Linked DNA regions of Macaca fascicularis. The protein of the gene in region 2 interacts with the protein of the main gene of each other region in a pairwise test. Links are inferred from orthologs where the notes say so. Each region holds a gene or a part of one and is shown on either strand. Other genes may lie near its edges.

Evidence for each region.
Region 1: the proteins of U2AF2 (region 2) and SNRPA interact in binary tests that used the Homo sapiens proteins (3 or more experiments, as listed by UniProt). The link is inferred for Macaca fascicularis from reciprocal best matches to the Homo sapiens genes U2AF2 and SNRPA.
Region 3: the proteins of U2AF2 (region 2) and SCAF11 interact in binary tests that used the Homo sapiens proteins (3 or more experiments, as listed by UniProt). The link is inferred for Macaca fascicularis from reciprocal best matches to the Homo sapiens genes U2AF2 and SCAF11.

What each region holds. Positions count from the first base shown.
Region 1 is NC_088393.1:47,867,915-47,874,202, reverse strand, and holds part of SNRPA (U1 small nuclear ribonucleoprotein A), read right to left. Parts: intron 2,146-6,288; coding exon 1,973-2,145; intron 1-1,972. UniProt on the Homo sapiens protein: Component of the spliceosomal U1 snRNP, which is essential for recognition of the pre-mRNA 5' splice-site and the subsequent assembly of the spliceosome. U1 snRNP is the first snRNP to interact with pre-mRNA.
Region 2 is NC_088393.1:63,607,083-63,614,168, reverse strand, and holds the start of U2AF2 (splicing factor U2AF 65 kDa subunit), read right to left. Parts: upstream 4,153-7,086; 5' UTR 4,077-4,152; coding exon 4,028-4,076; intron 352-4,027; exon of another isoform or gene 234-351; intron 6-233; coding exon 1-5. Other genes in the region: CCDC106 (coiled-coil domain-containing protein 106), read right to left, coding at 6,437-6,753. UniProt on the Homo sapiens protein: Plays a role in pre-mRNA splicing and 3'-end processing. By recruiting PRPF19 and the PRP19C/Prp19 complex/NTC/Nineteen complex to the RNA polymerase II C-terminal domain (CTD), and thereby pre-mRNA, may couple transcription to splicing.
Region 3 is NC_088385.1:52,618,977-52,624,250, forward strand, and holds part of SCAF11 (protein SCAF11), read right to left. Parts: intron 3,940-5,274; coding exon 3,721-3,939; intron 3,370-3,720; coding exon 3,250-3,369; intron 2,982-3,249; coding exon 2,835-2,981; 3' UTR 1-2,834. UniProt on the Homo sapiens protein: Plays a role in pre-mRNA alternative splicing by regulating spliceosome assembly.

The DNA.
Region 1 (6,288 bases), about 16 Mb from region 2:
AAAAATTAGCTGGGCATGGTGGCATGCACCTGTAGTCCCAGCTACTCAAGAGGCTGAGGCAGGAGGCAGGAGGCAGGAGAATCGCTTGAACCCGGGAGGCGAAGGTTGCAGTGAGCTGAGATCGCGCCTGTGCACTCCAGCCCAGGCGACAGAGCAAGTCACTGTCTCAAAAAACAAAACAAAACAAAAACAAAAAACAAAAAAATCAGACCTTATCAGGAGCTTACTGAGAAACACAGAAATATAAATATCTTGGCCTTAACCTCCTTGTCTGAAAAACGGGGATTATGATACCTCCCACTTCAAAGGACTGTTATGAGGACTAAATGAGTTAAAGTGCTTGGAACAGTACCTGACACACAGTAAGTAAGTGTTCAGTAGAAAGGCTGTTGGTATTTTCAAGGGAAGCTGGAACAGCAATAAACGTCAGGCCAAAAGCCCGAGGAGACAATGCTAGGAGAGGAGTGCAGTGCACGGGGATTTCCTATCACACAAGAATACACCTCAGTCTTCCAGGTTCAATCTCATTCACTTAGCTGTTTAAGAAGAACCTGCCAGGCCGGGCGCGGTGGCTCAAGCCTGTAATCCCAGCACTTTGGGAGGCCGAGACGGGCGGATCACGAGGTCAGGAGATCGAGACCATCCTGGCTAACACAGTGAAACCCCGTCTCTACTAAAAAATACAAAAAAAAAAAAAAAAAAAAACTAGCCGGGCGAGGTGGCGGGCGCCTGTAGTCCCAGCTACTCGGGAGGCTGAGGCAGGAGAATGGCATAAACCCGGGAGGCGGAGCTTGCAGTGAGCCGAGATCCGGCCACTGCGCTCCAGCCTGGGCGACAGAGCAAGACTCTGTCTCAAAAAAAAAAAAAAAAAGAAGAACCTGCCAGATGCCAGGCACAATTCGAGGCTCTGGGAATAAAGCAATGAAAAAAATAGACAAAAACCCCTCTTTCACGGTGCTTATTCAGTAGGGGAAGGTATGTTAAACATTCTTAGTGTGGCACAGTAGCTCACGCCTGTAATCCTAGCACTTTGGGAGGTTGAGGCCGGCAGATCACTGGAGCTCAGGAGTTCGAGACCAGCCTGGGCAACATGGCGAAACCCTATCTCTACTAAAAATACAAAAATCAGCGTTTCCAGGGGAGATAGCATCGTCTATCTCATCAAAAATAAATAAATAAATAAAATAAATTAAAAAAAATTTTTTTAAGATTTCTTTAAATTTATTTTTATTTTTTGAGATATAGTCCTGCTCTGTCACCCAGGCTGGAGTGCAGTGGTGCGATATTGGCTCACTGCAACCTCCGCCTCTCGGGTTCAAGCAATTCTCCTGCCTCAGCCTCCCAAGTAGCTGGGATTACAGGTGCCAGCCATCATGCCCAGCTGATTTTTGTATTTTTGTAGAGACAGGGTTTCGCCATGTTGGCCAGGCTGGTCTCGAACTCCTGACCTCAGGTAATCCACTGGCCTCAGCCTCCCAAAGTGCTGGGATTACAGGCATGAGCCACCATGTCCAGCCAAATATACATATATATACGTATTTTGAGACAGTCTCACTCTGTCACCCAGGCTGGAGAGCAGTGGCAGGATCTCGGCTCACTGCAACCTCTGCCTCCCAGGTTCAAGCAATTCTCCTTCCTCAGCCTCCCGAGTAGCTGGGACTACAGGCGCATGCTGCCACGCCCAGCTAATTTTTGTATTTTAGTAGACGGGGTTTCACAGTGTTGCCCAGGCTAGTCGCAAACTCCTGAGCTCAGGTAAACTGCCTGCCTCGGCCTCCGAAAGTGCTGGGATTACAGGCATGAGCCACCGCACTCCGCCAAAAAAATTTTTAAAGGAGGCAAGGTGCAGTGGGAGCCTGGTCCAGTCTCACCTTGGTGAATGAACCCTAATATCCCCTCCTCTAATCCAGGCCCGCCCAGTCTCCTATAACATTTCACACACCCACACAGCCTCCATACCCACAATGCTCACCATGGGCTTGTCATAGAAGGGGAAACCCTGCATGGAGCGCAGGGCGTTGGTGGCGCTGCTGACCTCCTTGAAGATGACAAAGGCCTGGCCCCTCATCTTTAGGCTCCGTGATACCAGGATATCCAGGATCTGGCCAAACTGGGAGAAGATGGCGTACAGGGACTTTTTTAGCTCTGCAGTGGGGAAAGAAAAGACCTCTGAGCTCCCCTTGTTAGAAGAAGCGCAGCCCAGATAGAAGACCATCAGCCAATTGACGGGCTACCCAGAATGCCTCGGGTCCATAATCTCTCAAGACCTAACAATCACAGAAGCGGCCAGGAACCACTCAAGCAGCCAAGTACACTCTTCTGTAAGATGTGCTTACAGAGAGCTGCTATATAACGAACATGTGCACATACATGCAAAGTGCTCAGGACAGCATCCGGTACATAGTAAACGCTCAGTAAATATGAGTGATTCTTTTCATTGCCACCAGCACCCTGACACAGGCCTGCATGACGTGGCCCTGGCAGATTTCCCCCAACTCATTCCTGCCCACATTCCACTATGCTCCTGAGTCCCCAACCACACTGGCCCCTAGGTCTGACACAACAATTCTGCCCCAGGGCCTTTGCACTGGCTGCTCCCTTTACCTGGAACATCCCTCCCCTGAGGTTTACATGGCGGCCACCTTCTAGTCACCCAAGTCTCAGAGGAAACGTTGCCACCTCTGACCACCATGTCTAAATGTCTTCCCATGTCATTCTTACTCTACTTCCTTTTCTTTCATGACTATTTCCCGCCTCCTGTCATGGTACGTTAACTTGTCTATCTTACCTGAGGAGCAATAAGCCTGTCCCATTTGTTTACTGCAGTATCTCCATGCCTGGCACAGACTCCATCACACATATTTATTTTTTTTTATTTGGCAACAAGGTCTCACTTTGTCACCCATGCTGGAGTGCAGTGGCATGATCATGATTCACTGTAGCCTCAAACTCCCAGACTCAAGCGATCCTCCCACCTCAGCCTCCTGAGTAGCTGGGACCACAGGTATATGCCACCATGCCCAGCTAACTTCTGGATTTTGTGCAGAGACAGGGTCTTGCTATGTTGCCCAGGCTGGTCTTGAACTCCTGAGCTTAAGGAATTAGCCCACCTTGGCCTCCCAAAGTGCTGGGATTACAGGAGTGTGCCACCACACTTGGCTACAAACATTTGACTACAGATACCATCAAGTGCTTTTTTTAGACAGGGTCTCCTTCTGTTGCTCAGGCTGGAGTTCAGTGGCATAATAGCTTACTGCAGGCTCGACCTCCTAGGCTCAAGCAATCTTCTCACCTCAGCCTCCCAAGGAGCTGGGACTACAGGCACGCAACACGACGCATGGCTAATTTTTTATTTTTTTGTAGATACAATCTCCTATGTTGCCCAGGTTGGTCTTGAACTCCTGGGCTCCAGTGATCCTCCTGCCTTGGCTTCCCAAAGTGCTGGGACTATAGGCATGAGCCATCGCACCCCCATCAAATGCTTTATAGAGGTAACTTCCTCACAGCAACCCCATTAAGTGGCAACTATGACTGTCCCAGTTTTACTCAAATGGAAACAGGTTCTCAGAGGATTCCTCACTGGACCAGTACAACAATCTGGAGGGCACAAGGGCATGGCAGAGCCCAGTCCACGAATTCCATCTGAATCCGGTACCACCACATCTCACCAGCAAAGGGCATCACTTGACAGCAAGTGGGATTCAAGGTCAACAAGGATGGACTCCCTCTCATCACTCAGGTCTACAAAGGGTACCAATGTCTTATGCAAAGTAGATGGCTGAGATGGCCAAGCATGGTGGCTCACACCTGTAATCCCGGCACTTTGGGAGGCCGAGGTGGGCAGATCCTTTGCGCTCAAGAGTTCAAGACCAGCCTGGGCAATATGGTGAAACCCTGTCTCTACAAAAGATACAAAAATTAGCCACGCATGGTGACGCGTGCCTTATGGTCACAGCTACTTGGGAGGCTGAAGTGGGAGGATCACTCTAGCCTGGGAGGCAGATCCTGCCACTGGACTCCAACTTTCATAAAAACTGGCGTGGCATGGTGGCTCATGCCTGTAATTCCAGCACTTTGGGAGGCTGAGGCAGATCACTTGAGGTCAGGAGTTCAAGACCAGCCTGGCCAAGACGGTGAAACTCCATCTCGACTAAAAAGGCCAAAAAAAAAAAAAGAAAGAAAGAAAAAATTAGCTAGTCGTGGTGGAGTGCGCCTGTAATCCCAGCTACTTGGGAGGCTGAGGCAGGAGAATAGCTTGAACCAGGGAGGCAAAAGTTGCAGTGAGCAGAGATTATGCCGCTGCACTCCAGCCTGGGCAACAGATCGAACGTCCGTCTCAAAAAAATATGTTGAGCTGAAGCAGAAGCCACTTGGTAAAATAGATACTAGACTAGGAAAGAAGCAAGAAAATGTGTGCAGGCTGGGTGGGGGCAGGGACAGCAGTCAAACTTGTTTTTAAACAATTAGTCAAAAATTCTCCTGGGGGTAACATTTCTGGTTTTCTTCTCCATACTCCATCCCCATGAATCTCATTCAGACTTCACTCATTCCACTGGACTCTGGGCCTCTCTCTACTCTCCAGCCTCCTCTTGCCCATTCGCATTTACCCTCCACCGCTGGAAGGATAGATGAGGAGGCAACCAGGACAGGGAAGCAAGCTGGCTCCCCAACACCCTCAGGGCAAAGTCTGACACCTCATAGCCACGAGCCTCATAGCCAGGAGCCACCAGTGCACAGCTCGCTGGAAGCTTCTCCATGATTTACAGGCCTCTAGGCCTCAGGCCCACAAAACTACTTGTAATACCCAGAATGTGCCAGGCTCTTTTACCCCTAAACATCTACACAAGCTGGCCCAAGTTAATAACACTCTTCTCCCTCAATGTAACATAAATACTGCTTCCTCTACCTGGCAGGCTCTCCAAAATGTCTCCTTTGCCAGGAAGCTGAATGGATCCCTCTGTCTTTCTAAGGTCCCAATCTCAGCCCTCAACACTCTGCCTAAGCTTCCTGCATGATGGCCCTGACTACTCTGGGCTGTCACTGTCCTAAAGAACCAGGGTTCCGGCCGGGCGCGGTGGCTCACGCCTATAATCCCAGCACTTTGGGAGGCCGAGGCAGGTGGATCACAAGGTCAGGAGTTCGAGACCAGCGTAGCCAAGATGGTGAAACCCTGTCTCTGCTAAAAATACAAAAATTAGCTGGGCATGGTGGCAGGTGCCTGGAATCCCAGCTACTCAGGAGGCTGAGGCAGAGAACTGCTTGAATCCGGCAGGCGGAGGTTGCAGTAAACTGAGATTGCGCCACTGCATTCCAGCCTATGCAACACAGCGACACTCCACCTCATTTAAAAAAAAAAAAAAAAAAGCCGGGCGCGGTGGCTCAAGCCTGTAATCCCAGCACTTTGGGAGGCCGAGACGGGTGGATCACGAGGTCAGGAGATCGAGACCATCCTGGCTAACACGGTGAAACCCCGTCTCTACTAAAAATACAAAAAATTAGCCGGGCGCAGTGGCGGGCGCCTGTAGTCCCAGCTACTCAGGAGGCTGAGGCAGGAGAATGGCGTGAACCCGGGAGGTGGAGCTTGCAGTGAGCTGAGATCTGGCCACTGTACTCCAGCCTGGGCGGCAGAGCGAGACTCTGTCTCAAAAAAAAAAAAAAAAAAAAAAAAAGAACCAGCGTTCTATGTCACCAGTGTGTCCCCAGCACTGCCCAATAATGGTTAGGCACCACACTCTAAAAGCATATGCAAAATTTACATTCCTGGTTTTGTTTTATTTTATTTTATCTTTTTTTGAGAGTCTCTATCACCCAGGCTGGAGTACAGTGGTGCAGTCTCAGCTCACTGCAACCTCTGCTTCCCAGGGTTCAAGTGATTCTCCTGCCTCAGCCTCCCAAGTAGCTGGGACTATAGATGTGCGCCGCCACACCCAGCTGATTTTTAGTAGACACGGGGTTTCACCATCTTGGCCAGGCTGGTCTTGAACTCCTGACCTCACACGATCTCCCACCTCAGCCTCCCAAAGTATTTTTAGTAGACACGGGGTTTCACCATCTTGGCCAGGCTGGTCTTGAACTCCTGACCTCACACGATCTCCCACCTCAGCCTCCCAAAGTGCTGGGATGACAGGCGTGAGCCAGTGCCCCGGCTGCTGGTTTTGCTTTCTTCAAGAGCAACTTCACTGGTGACCTCAAACTGAATCCCAGTAAGCTCCTTCGGTTCTCCTGACAATTTTCTTGAAGTGATAAGAGCTAACATTTATCCAGCCCTTACTAGCTGCCAGTTAACAT
Region 2 (7,086 bases):
CCTCTCTGGGCAAGGGTGAGAGGAGGGGCAAGGGATGAGCGGAGTAAGGCTGCGGACCCAGCCCACCCTGCGCGCTGGTGGCTATGTCCCCAGCCCCAGGGAGGCCACCCCCAAAGGGAAGGGATCCAATGGAGGAAGGGAATTAACAGGCCTCCTGGGTCCACAAGCGAGTCCAGGGACCACGAGGGGACCAGGGGGACGGGGCCTGGAAATGCCCCCGGGGTGTGAGATACCTGAGGATGCTCAGGAGGAGCTGGGAGCCAGAGAAGACAGAGGAGGCTGGCTCCTGGTCCCCTCGAGGGCTGAGGGGCCTGACCCCAGGGTCGTCCCTGAGAGGGGCAGGGCTAGAGGCTGGGGAATCAAGAGACCCAATGATGTTTTCCTGAAGGGACCCAGCGACCCCTCAGGAAAGACCTCTGCAACCAGCTGGCACCCACAGCCCCACCATCAGGCCTGGGGGTCAGGTGCCAGGCAGGATCTGATGTCCCCAGGAAGCAGGGAAACTCAACCCATCCCTTCCCAAGCCAGTGAATAATGCAGAAGCAAGCACCCTTCCCCAGGGGAAGGGAAGGGCCTCAGAGAATCCGCAGACTGAAGGGGAAAGAGGCCCTCCTCTCCTTCAGCAGGACAGGGGAGGAGCTTGCCCCATCCAGACTTGAATCCCAAACCACTTGATTCTCCCGGCCTCACTCCCTTCAAAGCCAAGCGCTGGAGAGGCTGTACTGTAGGGTAGGGGCATGCATCTCTGCCAGCCTCCAGCCGGCTCCCTCAACCCTGCATTTGCCTGACGTAGCCACTAGAAACAGAGCCTTGCTGCTAAAACCACAGAGACCTCTGCTCTCACCAGACCCTTCAACCCCTGAAGAAGGACGACCGGCCCTTTAAGATGGAGAATAAAGCATGAGCATTGAGGGTGTTCATGAGCACCGCCATACCATTTCCTTAATTCAAAGACACCCAGATTTCTCAACTAGCCACGAAGCACTCACACAAAAAAGATGCACACGTTAAGGTGCTCATGTTAACACGCATCTCCTGGAGTGATCATCCCTGGGGACAAGAGGAGGAAAAGGCACTGAGGGAGGATGTTAAACTTTAGCCTCACCCACAGCGTTTTGTCTTATGTTTTTGTGATGCAATTTGAATGTTTGGAAAAGCATCACAATTCCAAAACCACCAACACTCAGAAAAATATGCACCCAGAAGGGAAAAAAACAGAAACAAATACTGAGATGCTTCTGTACTAAATAGCTTTGTTTGTTCTTAATCCTCACTACTGTTTCGGAAAAACGCTGCGGGGGGCTGACCTAATGGGTAGAAAACTAAGGTTCAGAGAGATCACAGTTGCCCAAGGCCAGACAGCTAGGAAATGGTGATACCAGAACGTAAACACTAAAACATCAGTGAGTTAGGCACCAAGTCATACTCTTGAATGTGGATCAGGCAGAACACTCAAGTCTGGCTAGAACCACTAATGACAATATAATTGTCCCCTCGAAGGCCAAAAACCCCAAAATCAAAAACTGAAATTGGGAGGAACAATTGGCAGGACAGGCCAGCAGTGCAGAGCAGCAGGGTAAGCACGCAGGCACGGCACTGGGCACAACTCCACGCCTGTAAGATGGACAGGCTGTGAGCCCCAAGAGCCCTTCCTGCTGCTAAGGCTCTGAAACAGGCAAGCAGGCAGAGAGGAAGCCACGCAGAGAAAGCAATGACGCCCGTTGGGTGCCTGGGACACAGACAAGGAAATTCCCTATCGACACAGGTAGCAGAGGAAGGGACTGAAGCAGAAGCCGACAGGTACAGAGGCTGATGCGTCCTCCACAAAGACCCACAGGCAGAGTGACACGTGGGCAGAGCTTCCCCTATGACAAGAACCCTCTCCCACACACTGATGCTGGACAGGTAAAAACCAAGAGAGCTTCATTTGCTCAAAACACTGTATTGTGGTCATCTTATGGGAGCAGCTCCGGCAACCCAGGAGCCGTGCCAGGTCTCAGGGAGGGCCCTATCAGCACCAAGGGGGAAACCCCGGGAGAACCAGTGAAGCACCATCTGAGAGCCTCAAAGAACGGCCCGATCAGCTCCACTTGGTGGCCCAGCAGAGTGGAACCTGGCCTTGCAGCCAGCCAGAGCTCAGAATCAGTACCTGCTTTTCTGCTTACCAACAAAAACCATGCAAAAACAACTTAACCTTTAAGACTTGGTTTTTTCTCTGTAAACGAGGGTCACATCTACTCCACTCAGGTGTTGTGTGACAGAATGACATTTGGAAAGCACCTTTTCCTGCCCTTTCCCAACTGTGACACAATCTCTGTGAGTGGAAGACCCTCCTCTTTAAGCATGGAATTTTACAATTGCAAATATCGCTTACTGCACACCTAGTGTACACCAAGCCACATGCCACACACTTTACGTTACCCCATTTAATCTCAGCTCTGCCTCTGACTAGCTGAGCCCTGAGAAAGTTTTTAATTTTTCTGAGCCCTCAGTTTCCTCCCCAGTAGAGGTGGAAATCATTTTGACCTCACAGGGCTGTTACAAGGATCCCCTAAATAAAATCACGCTAAGAGTTTAGCGAAGAGCCTGGCACACATAAGCGCTCAGAGTTTAACTACACCTATCGTTACTATAATCCTTACTAATCTTCTCAAAACCGAGTGAGAAAAAATAATAATCAGTCTACAAATAGGAAAAAAAAAGAAAGATAAACGTATTAAAAGTAGTTACTAACCAACAAAGCAAGTATCTAAATCCCTGATGTGCTCAACTCCAAAGCCTATGCTCTTGAACAGTCCATCACCTAAGACAGAGTCAGACCCTCAGTAAACGTTATTTCTTCCCCAGGGCACTGTTTCCTAATACAGCCCCTGGGTTCAAAGGAAAATTCCTTAGCCCTCATTTCGTCCTCCGAACGACCTAGGATCATGGGCAGCTGAAGCCTCAAAAGAAATGAAACAAGTCCCCAACCTTCCCTAGTCCTGTGTTTCTTCACTCTCAAACTGAAACATGGAACAACTCTCCCACTTCTAATATTCTCGGAATCCCTAAGATCAGCAGGGCCCCACGCTTTTTGTTCTCACCCATCACATTCTCGATACCCTGAAAGGAACCTGCCTCCCACCTTCCCCGTTAAGTGAAGAGTTTAGCGCAGTGGGCCAGATCCCTCTTCCTCCCTCAGAACCTGTTTCCTTATCTCTACATCGAGATCTGAGGCTGAGTATTATCAGGTGCCCCGAGTTTGGGATCCTACATGATTTGCGGTTTGTCTCAAACACTCCATATCGCGATTCTCGGGACCGCCAAAAGTTCCGCATATGCAGGATGTGTGCGTGCCGACACTCAAAGAATGCAGATGCTTCAGGGAACATGCGCCCAACACGTTAATATGAGGCGCCCCACTACCAACAGACGGGGCAGAAACCACCTGGCAGAAGAGGTCGCAGCAAATCAGCAAAAAGGAAAAGGGGTATGAGACGGGCTCGTGGCCTCCAAGAGTCCCCCGAAACAGCTCTGTCCTCATCCACGTGAAGGAGGGAAAGGGGGGCCCCCCCGAGTCCTCACAACCGCCATTTTGGAAACAAAGGGGGCGTGGAGACGCGGCCGTGGGCCCGACCGGAAGCGGAAGTGCCAAGGCAGCGGGAGAAAAAGAACGGATTACGGGGCCTAACATAATCTCCTTTTCAGAGAATACAAAAAGATTTTAAAAAACAAAAGTTCACGTCGAGGTACCTGGCGCACTCGCGCCGCGTCCCCCGAGCCACCTCCGGCAGGACCACGTGGGGCACGGGGACAGCCGCCGTGCGCATGCGTCATGGGCCCGCGCCCTGCCGCCCCCTTCCCCTCGCCTAGCGCGCGGCCGAACGCTGGGGATGTCACGTGAACGAGGCGCGCGCCACGGAACCGGGGTTGGGGGGGGTCGCACGGCCGTGAGAGGTGGGGGGAAGCGAGGGAGAAAATGGCGGGGGGGCAAAGAGCGACGCGAGGAGCCGCCCACACCTCCGCCCCGCGACCCCGGCGCCCTCACCTTGTTTATTCTCGTTGAGCTGCCGCTCGAACTCGTCGAAGTCCGACATGCTGAGGCGGCCGCGTAGGGCCCTGTGCAGCTCTCGCCTCGCCTTGCCGCCCGCTCCGGCCGCTTCGGCTACTTCCGCCGCTGGCTTCGGCTACTTCCGGCCGCCGCCGGCGCTTCGCCACCTCCTACCTAATCAAGCCTCCGGCAGCCCTCCCCACCCGCCCGGGCTCCGCCCCCTCACCCGCCCGCCCGCCCGCGAGCTTGCCCCTCCCCCCGAGCCTGGCTCCGAAGCGCGTCGGCTATTTCCGGACACTGGACGAAGGAGACGCAGATGGCAGCTGCGACTGCTTCCGAAAACACCCGAAGGTAGGGTTTCGCCGACTTCCCAGGTTTCCGTAACTTTTCCAAAATTATCTCCTCAACGTTCGGAGGTTTCCGTGTGTCCTCGTGTTCCACTGCGCCCAGCCCCCTCTGCGAGTTCGGGTTCTTCCGACAATTCAATCCGTCCCAGTCTTTGGCTGCTTCCACGGATTTCCTCCGATCTTCTCCGCCGGCCCTGTCCAAGCAATCGGCCACTTCCGACAATCCTAACCGTCCCGGCCTTCGGCTCTTTCCGGAGATTTCCGGAGCTCGCCCTCGGGCCCCTCCTGGGATTAAGCTCGAGTCCAAGTTTCGGCTCTTTCCGGAGATGCCACTTGCTCACTCCGCAGATCAGAGAACTTCGGCTCCTTCCGCCACCGCTTCGTGAAGGCCTCACTCTCCGGGGACAGCTTCGGCTTTTTTCGTGGGTGCTTCGGCTCCTTCCGGCTTCGGGAACGGAAAAGGGAGGGAGGACGGAGGCGAGGTGGGTCAGGGGAAGGGATACAGAGAAGGAGACGAGGTACCGGTTCTCAGCACCTGGCTCTCCGGGTGGGGAAAGTGAAAGAAAAAAAGGACCGGCCTCGCGGAGGGCCTGAGAAGGTTGCGCGAGACAAAAGCAGCAAGAGGGGTGAACGGTGCGCGCGACCGCTGCGGAGGTTGCCAGCGCGGCTTTTTGCGCCTGCGCAGGGTGGAAGCGGCGGGTGAGGGGGAAACAGGCTTCTGCGCCTGCGTAAGTGTCTCTGTGGCGCGCTCTCCCACTGCTCCGGTGAAGGGGGTTGCGGGGACCAGGTTTCAGTCCCCGTTGCGCGTGCGCGAGATTTTCCCTTCCTGGAGTGAAAGTGCTTAATCCCCAACGGTTAAATCCGGCCACCCTCTTGGTTGTCTTGGCAACCGCATCAACGCGCTCCGGCCCCTCCCGTCGCGCAGGCGCAACAGATGGATGATCGCGCAGTCCTTCCGGGAGACAGATGATCTGGCGTTACTGCCCCCTGGCGGCCGGACGGAAGAATCCCCCAGACTTGGCCTGGCCGCTGGGTGGCCTCCCCTGCTCGAGGTCATCGAGTCCCGCCTCTCGCGCCACTCACTGGTCCGGGTAGCCCAGCGGGTAGCGTTTACGCTTTTTACTTTTTTTTTTTTTTTTTTTTTGCGACGGAGACTCTATCGCCCAGGCTAGAGTGCAGTGGCCAGATCTCGGCTCACTGGAACCTCCGCCTGCTGGGTTCAAGCGATTTTCCTGCCTCAGCCTCCCGAGTAGCTGGGACACCTGGCTAATTTTTTGTATTTTTAGTAGAGATAGGGTTTCACTGTGTTAGCCAGGACGGTCTCGATCTCCTGAACTCGTGATCCGCCTGCCTCGGCCTCCCAAAGCGCTGGGATTACAGGCGTGAGCCACCGCACCCGGCTGTGTCCGCGCTTCTTTTCCAGAGCTCTGCCTCCAAGATTTCAGGGGCACAGCTGTTTCTCCGTCTCTGCCTCCGGGGGGCTAATTACACCCTGTCCTACCCGGCCTCCCGCCTGACCGCCCACCCCCTTGGAAGCCCCAGCAACCCCATCACCGTCGTCGGGGCGACGGCCTCCCCCTCCCAGGCACGTCCCCCTCCTAGGAAAAGGCTGAGGCCCAGTTTATTCCAAATTTTCACGTCGTTTTTTAATTTAAATTCTCTGAATAATTCTCTGTCTCGCGCGGAGTTGGGGAGGTCTGTCCGGGAATCAGGTGGGCAGCTCCTCCGCGGGGCTGGGGCGGAGACGGGGTCTATACAGTCCCCCACCCGAGAGGGGGGCGGCACCCTCCTGCCTGGTTGATTTCCAGGAGGAAGGGGTCCGGCGAGGACAGGGCTGGGCAGCCCAAGCGGAAGGGGATGCCGGCGTTCGGGAAGGGGCTGCGGCCGGCCCTGGGCCGTCGCGCTTGGGGGCCGGGCTAAGGGAGCCCCCAACCCAGGGAGTGAGGAGGAGGGGCAGGGGCGCGGCAGGGAGAGGCGCAGGTCATCCACCGGGGGCCTGGGGAGGGCCGGGGTCGGCGGGGGAGGAAGGCCCGGGCGGAGGCGCGGAGGCGTGGTGCGATCACCGCTTGAAGCGGTAGGTGATGGGCAGCAGCAGCTTGCTCTTCTTGAGCGCCTGCACCTTCTTGAGCGTCTCGTCGTCCAGGGCCAGAAAGCAGCGACGGGAGTACTCGAGCAGGCGCTCCTTGGAGGGGTCGAACTCGCCCACCTCGGCCAGCTTCTCGGGGGCCACAATGAGCAGCTCGGCGATGGGCGTGGTCAGCGCCACGGTGTTCCTGTCCACGCGGTGGTGCTCGAAGGCCCGCGACATGCTCTTGAGCTTCTGGAAGGTGCCCAGGATCTTCTTGTACCGGCAGAGGACCCCGTCGGCGTCCTTCACTGCGGGGCGGAGGCGGGGACACGGAAGTGAGGAGCAGGGGCCAAGACCGAGGGGGCGGACACGGGAAGGGAAACGGCCATGGGAAGGAAGGATCCCGGCGAGCAGAGGCACTGGCGGTGCAGGAGGATACGGAGAACAGGGAAGGGAGGGGCGGAGAGGAGGGGAAGAAGCGCAGCCAGTACTTGGACCAGTGGGAAATGGGAAGAGGCAGGCCCAGGAAGGGGGGTGAGGAGAGAACATGAGCCGAGAGGCCGGGTTCAACCAACGCGGTCCCAGCAACAACACCGCCCCCCCCGCCCGCCTCTCCACCACGCCCAGCCATCACCCTCACC
Region 3 (5,274 bases), on a different chromosome or scaffold from region 2:
TTGGATGGAACATTCAAGCAGTATACACTGTGGCCATTTAAAGGAAGGTAAGAGAAAAAAATGTGGTAATTACCAAAACAAATTTTAAAAAAGCACAAAACTTTTAGAATGTTAATGGATAACTACTATTAGTCTCAAAATTCTAGGCATTTCTATAAAACATCGGTCAATGTGACTAGTAAATGAAAGGGACCAAGGTTTCAAAGATCAAGTCAATACTGAACCTTGATAAATAACAAGAGGAAATGTAACTCCACAAAATGTTTCTGATTAAGTTTGTGCCCATGCAAAATTAACATAAATTTCTTAAAGAATGAGGAATGTTAAAGCAATGTATTTTTTCAACATAAAGCATGCATTTTCTAATACATTCTTAAACATTTCAAAATTTTAAAAGTTTGAATTCTAATCAAATAACACTCTTCATTAGCTATTAATGCAGTCTAACCAGTGCCCCAATCAGATATGGAACACACACTTGTTATTGTCATGGAAATAATTCATGGGAGTGCTACTAAAGATATATGAGACTTCAACTCTTGACCACACCACTTTTGCTCCAAAACTTTAGAACTTGTTTGCAAAAGCTAAATGGTATAAAGCACATTTTAAAATGTCACCCAATTCTCAAATGTCACTGAAAGAAAATGCAGGAAAAGTATGTATTGTGTGATTAATCAACTTAGACACAGCAATTTGCTGCAAAAATTTCAAAGTATGAACTAGCCTTAACTCAAAATACTTTGAACATTCACAAAATTGTTTGTAGAGTTCTAACCTAAAACAACTAAGGAGGTGTGCCTTGATATTCTGAAACACTGTCTTAATACTTTATTAGAAGAAATACACTTGAAATTTCTTTATCATAATCTAAATGCAAACTTTAAAAATATATACCAGTAGAATACCATATTACAAATGCCCAGAAATGTAGAATGAAGGTCAAAAACTGCTTGGAAATATTTTTATGATTAAACTCATAACTTAACAAAGCTTATGAACTAGCACAATCATTATGGGGCCAACATTTCAAGATATTTTGCCTATCAAAGCTAGCACCAGGAAAAGTATTATGCACGTAAAATTGAGAAACAGATAATCCTTACTTTAGAAAAGCACAGTTCTACAGAGTATTGCTCTGGCTAGTTTAGCTAGTAAAAGGGTCAGTTTATCTCATGGAGGCATGTATCTCCTTGGATCCATTAACTTATCTGAAGAACTTTCCAGGTACTTGGTATGTACTGAAAATTCCTACTGGAATCAGAGTTTATCATGGAGAAAACGCATTGTTCTTTCAAGATGCCAGTTAAAATAATGGCACGATAAACATTTTAAACTTACCTTTTATAAAAACTGAGATATTCTAGTACTAAAAAGAGGAAAACAAACAAACAAAAAAAACAAAACAAAAAAACAAATCCCTAGTCCCTGAAAGGCTAACCAAGACTCCATTATTCAATTTTCCTCTGCATTTCTAAAACACAGGTTTCATTGGCTAGAATTTTAGAATTCTGCAACATGGCTAATGGCTACCACCTGATCACCAAATTAACACTTCATTCATTGTAACAAGTGTGAAAATAATTTCATCAGTGATTAAACAACGACTTTATGCCAGTGCCATGAGTCTTGTAATTCTTAGTCCCAAGGAAGGGAGGATAACAGCTTAATAGCAATTCTCAAATTGGCACAAATAATTTATCATCTGCAATGGGTAGAAGAAGATACTACGAAAGAACATAATTTCTACAAAGTCAACACTTTTTTTTTTTTTTTGAGACGGAGATTTGCTCCTGTTGCCCAGGCTGAAGTGCAATGGCACGGTCTCGGCTCACTGCAACTTCTGCCTCCTGGGTTCAACTGATTCTCCTGCCTCAGCCTCCCGAATAGCTGGGATTACAGGCATGCACCAACACGCCTGGCTAATTTTTGTATTTTTAGTAGAGACGGGGTTTCACCATGTTAGCCAGGCTGGTCTCGATGATCTAACCTCAGGTGATCCACCCGCCTCGGCCTCCCAAAATGCTGGGATTATAGGCGTGAGCCATCATGCCCGGCCAAAAGTCAACAATTTTTCCAAATCTTTTTCTTCAAAGTCTTCAACAAAGACTTTGAACTGCCAAAGTTGTAATCTAGTAAGTCAAACTGCTTATCTCAATTCAGAGTAAAAAAAGGCACAAAAGAAAAACAAGCAGCATAACCTTTATTTGGTCATACAATAGGTGAAGAGTGTCTCAATGTTTTGAACACTAAATTTTACTCATGTGATAATTTTTTTCTATCTAGGCAATTTATTCAGATATGTGCTTTAAAAATACACATTAGGAACTCTGCAACTGATATGTTCTATTTAATATTAGAAACATTTTTCATGGTAATACATTATTTAACTTTCTATAATTAGAGGGAAAAAATCAATCATAAAGATCATACTTTATATTTTAACCTGACAGAATAAATGCATTTTATATATATATCTCTTTGAAAACCAGTGCACTTAGAAGTTTCTAATTTATGCACTCCATTGCTCTAATCAAAAAGCTATACATCTTTCAGTATCCACACTATAACACAGTCCTAGTAAAGATGCACATTCCTTTCAACACTTTACTTTCCCTTGAATTTTGTGGGGGAGGTTGGAGGGGAAGGAAGGATACAGAAGTTGCAGTGCAGACCTATATTTATTTAGAACAAAACATCATATCCTATGTTAAAAAAATAATTTTATCAAAACCAAATTTCAATCACAGTTATGTATGATTTTCAGTTAATGGTACATGTTGAAATTGCACTTTGCAGATATCCTGATAATGTCTTTGACAGCGTTCCCCATTTCAGCCTATGTTTTTTTCAGTAGACACAGGTTCTTCCAGAGTTTTCTTTTGGCTCCCCTTCCGTGAATATTTGTATTTGTCTACATAGGCTTTAACCAGATTTGCCACTTTAGTAGAATTTACTTCTCCACTCTTACTATGACAAACCTAAGAAAAAAGGGGTGGAGGGTAAACTTTTTTCATGCTTAAAGGGATTAAAGCCAAAATAGAAAGCTTTGTGAAAAACAACCCCAAAGAGATAACCAGACTTATTTTCATGTTTCATTATCTCATACAAACTAGTCAAAAGGCAAAAAAGTAGACAGGAATTAGTAGGAGCTAGCTTTTATTATTTTAATTAAACTTCAGCATTCATTTATTAAAACAGAGGTGGTTCAAAACAATGTGCACATACTCCACTAAAGGCATAACTTACTTTATCTACTGCTTTCCGTACAATTTCTTTATATTCTTCCTTGGTGATATCTTTATTTTGGTAAAATGGCTTAATGGCCAATTTTACCTCTTGTGCTGCTTTTTCTTGAATTTGCAATTTCTGATGAGAAGAAAATGTATAATTTATTATTAACCAGTCATATGCTCTCACGAAATTTCAAACAAGAAATTGAAAATACTTCACATTTACAATAAGAGACTCTCCAACTATTAACGTGACAAATACAAAACAGTTTATTTACTAAAACATATCAAACATTTCTAAAAACAATTGTCAAGTATTACCAGTAATTTACTGGACATCAACTCATCTAGAGAGAATCCTTCAAATAATATTGGCATTTAGACTGCCAATAAGAAATTCCCTTCACCACTCATACAATAAAAAGCTGATATTTTTCACCTTTATCATATACAGAATTATGGAGGTTGCTCTCAACCTTGAACTTGCCTTGTCTGTCTTCGAGCTATCTGCGCTGGCTTCCACTGTAACACTTACTTTGCTTTCTGCCAATTTTACAGCAGCAATAGAGGCTTTGCTGTGACTTGATGACGAAGTATTACCAGAACTTGGTCCCTGAACCGTTCCCGTATTTCCTGGGGCTGCTGTTGGAGCAGGCAAAACTGGTGTACTCATGTTATTACTTACATGAGAAGAACTAGGAATACCCTGTGTTAAAGAGTTATCATCAGTTAATGAATTACTTGTACTCAATAGAAGTCTTTTAGTGATGTATTAGAAATAACATTAAAAAACACAAAGCAAACCAACCTTAGTACTAAAGAAAAATGCATATTTCAGGTAATTATATCTAAAGGGCCCTTTAAAGAAAAATGATTAACACTCTTAAACAGGGCCTTATTTAGATATGTCAAGATGAGTTTTAAATTATATATATGGATTGTAACATTCTGACAGCAACACTAAAAACAAGGAGGAGAAGAGCTTTTAAAGAACTGTATCTTTCCTGCAAGGATCTTCAGGAATATTAATGAAAATAAGTGCCCCCACTTTAAAGATTGGAAAAAATAAGGCAGTAAAATCAAATGGCTTGTAGTAAGTTGATAGGAGAAAAAGATTAAGATACAAAATACTAAAATCCAATTTCCCTATTCTTTCAACTCTATCGTACTGTCAGGATTCTACTTTTATTTATTTATTTATTTATTTATTTATTTATTTATTTATTTATTTATTTATTTTGAGACGAAGTCTCACTCTCTCCCACGCTAGAGTTCAGTGGCGCAATCTTGGCTCAATGCAATCTCTGACTACTGGTTCAAGTGATTCTCAAGCCTCAGCCTCCAAGTAGCTGGGATTACAGGCATGCATCACCACGCCTGGCTAATTTTTGTATATATATTTTTTTCAAGACAGAGTCTTGCTCTGTCACCCAGGCTGGAGTGCAGTGGCACGATCTCAGCTCACTGCACCCTCCACCTCCTGAGTTCAAGCAATTCTCCAGCCTCAGCTTCCTGAGTAGCTGGGATTACAGGTGCCCGCCACCACACCCAGCTAATTTTTGTATTTTTAGTAGAGGCAGGGTTTCACCATGTTGGCCAGGCTGATCCTGAGCTCGTGATCCGTCCACCTTGGCCTCCCAAAGTGCTGGGATTACAGGTGTGAGCCACTGTGCCTGGCCTAATTTTTGTATTTTTGGTAGAGATGGGGTTTCACCATGTTGGCCAAGCTGGTCACGAACTCCTGACTTCAACTGATCCACCTGCCTTGGCCTCCCAACGTGCTGGGATAACAGGTGTGAGCCACCGTGCCCGCCTAGGATTCTAAAATTTTTTAAAGGCAGTCATAAAATTATAAGCAACACAATGTTTGCAAATTATTCAAATTTTCTATGTCTCACAGAGGCACTTCTCCTTTCTTTTCAGCATGATAAATTCATGAAAATGAAACACAGATGGTAATGGATAATGAACAGCTTTATCTAGTGTTTGTCTGAACAAGACAATAAAAACTTCATCATAGTACTTAATCACTAATTCCCAC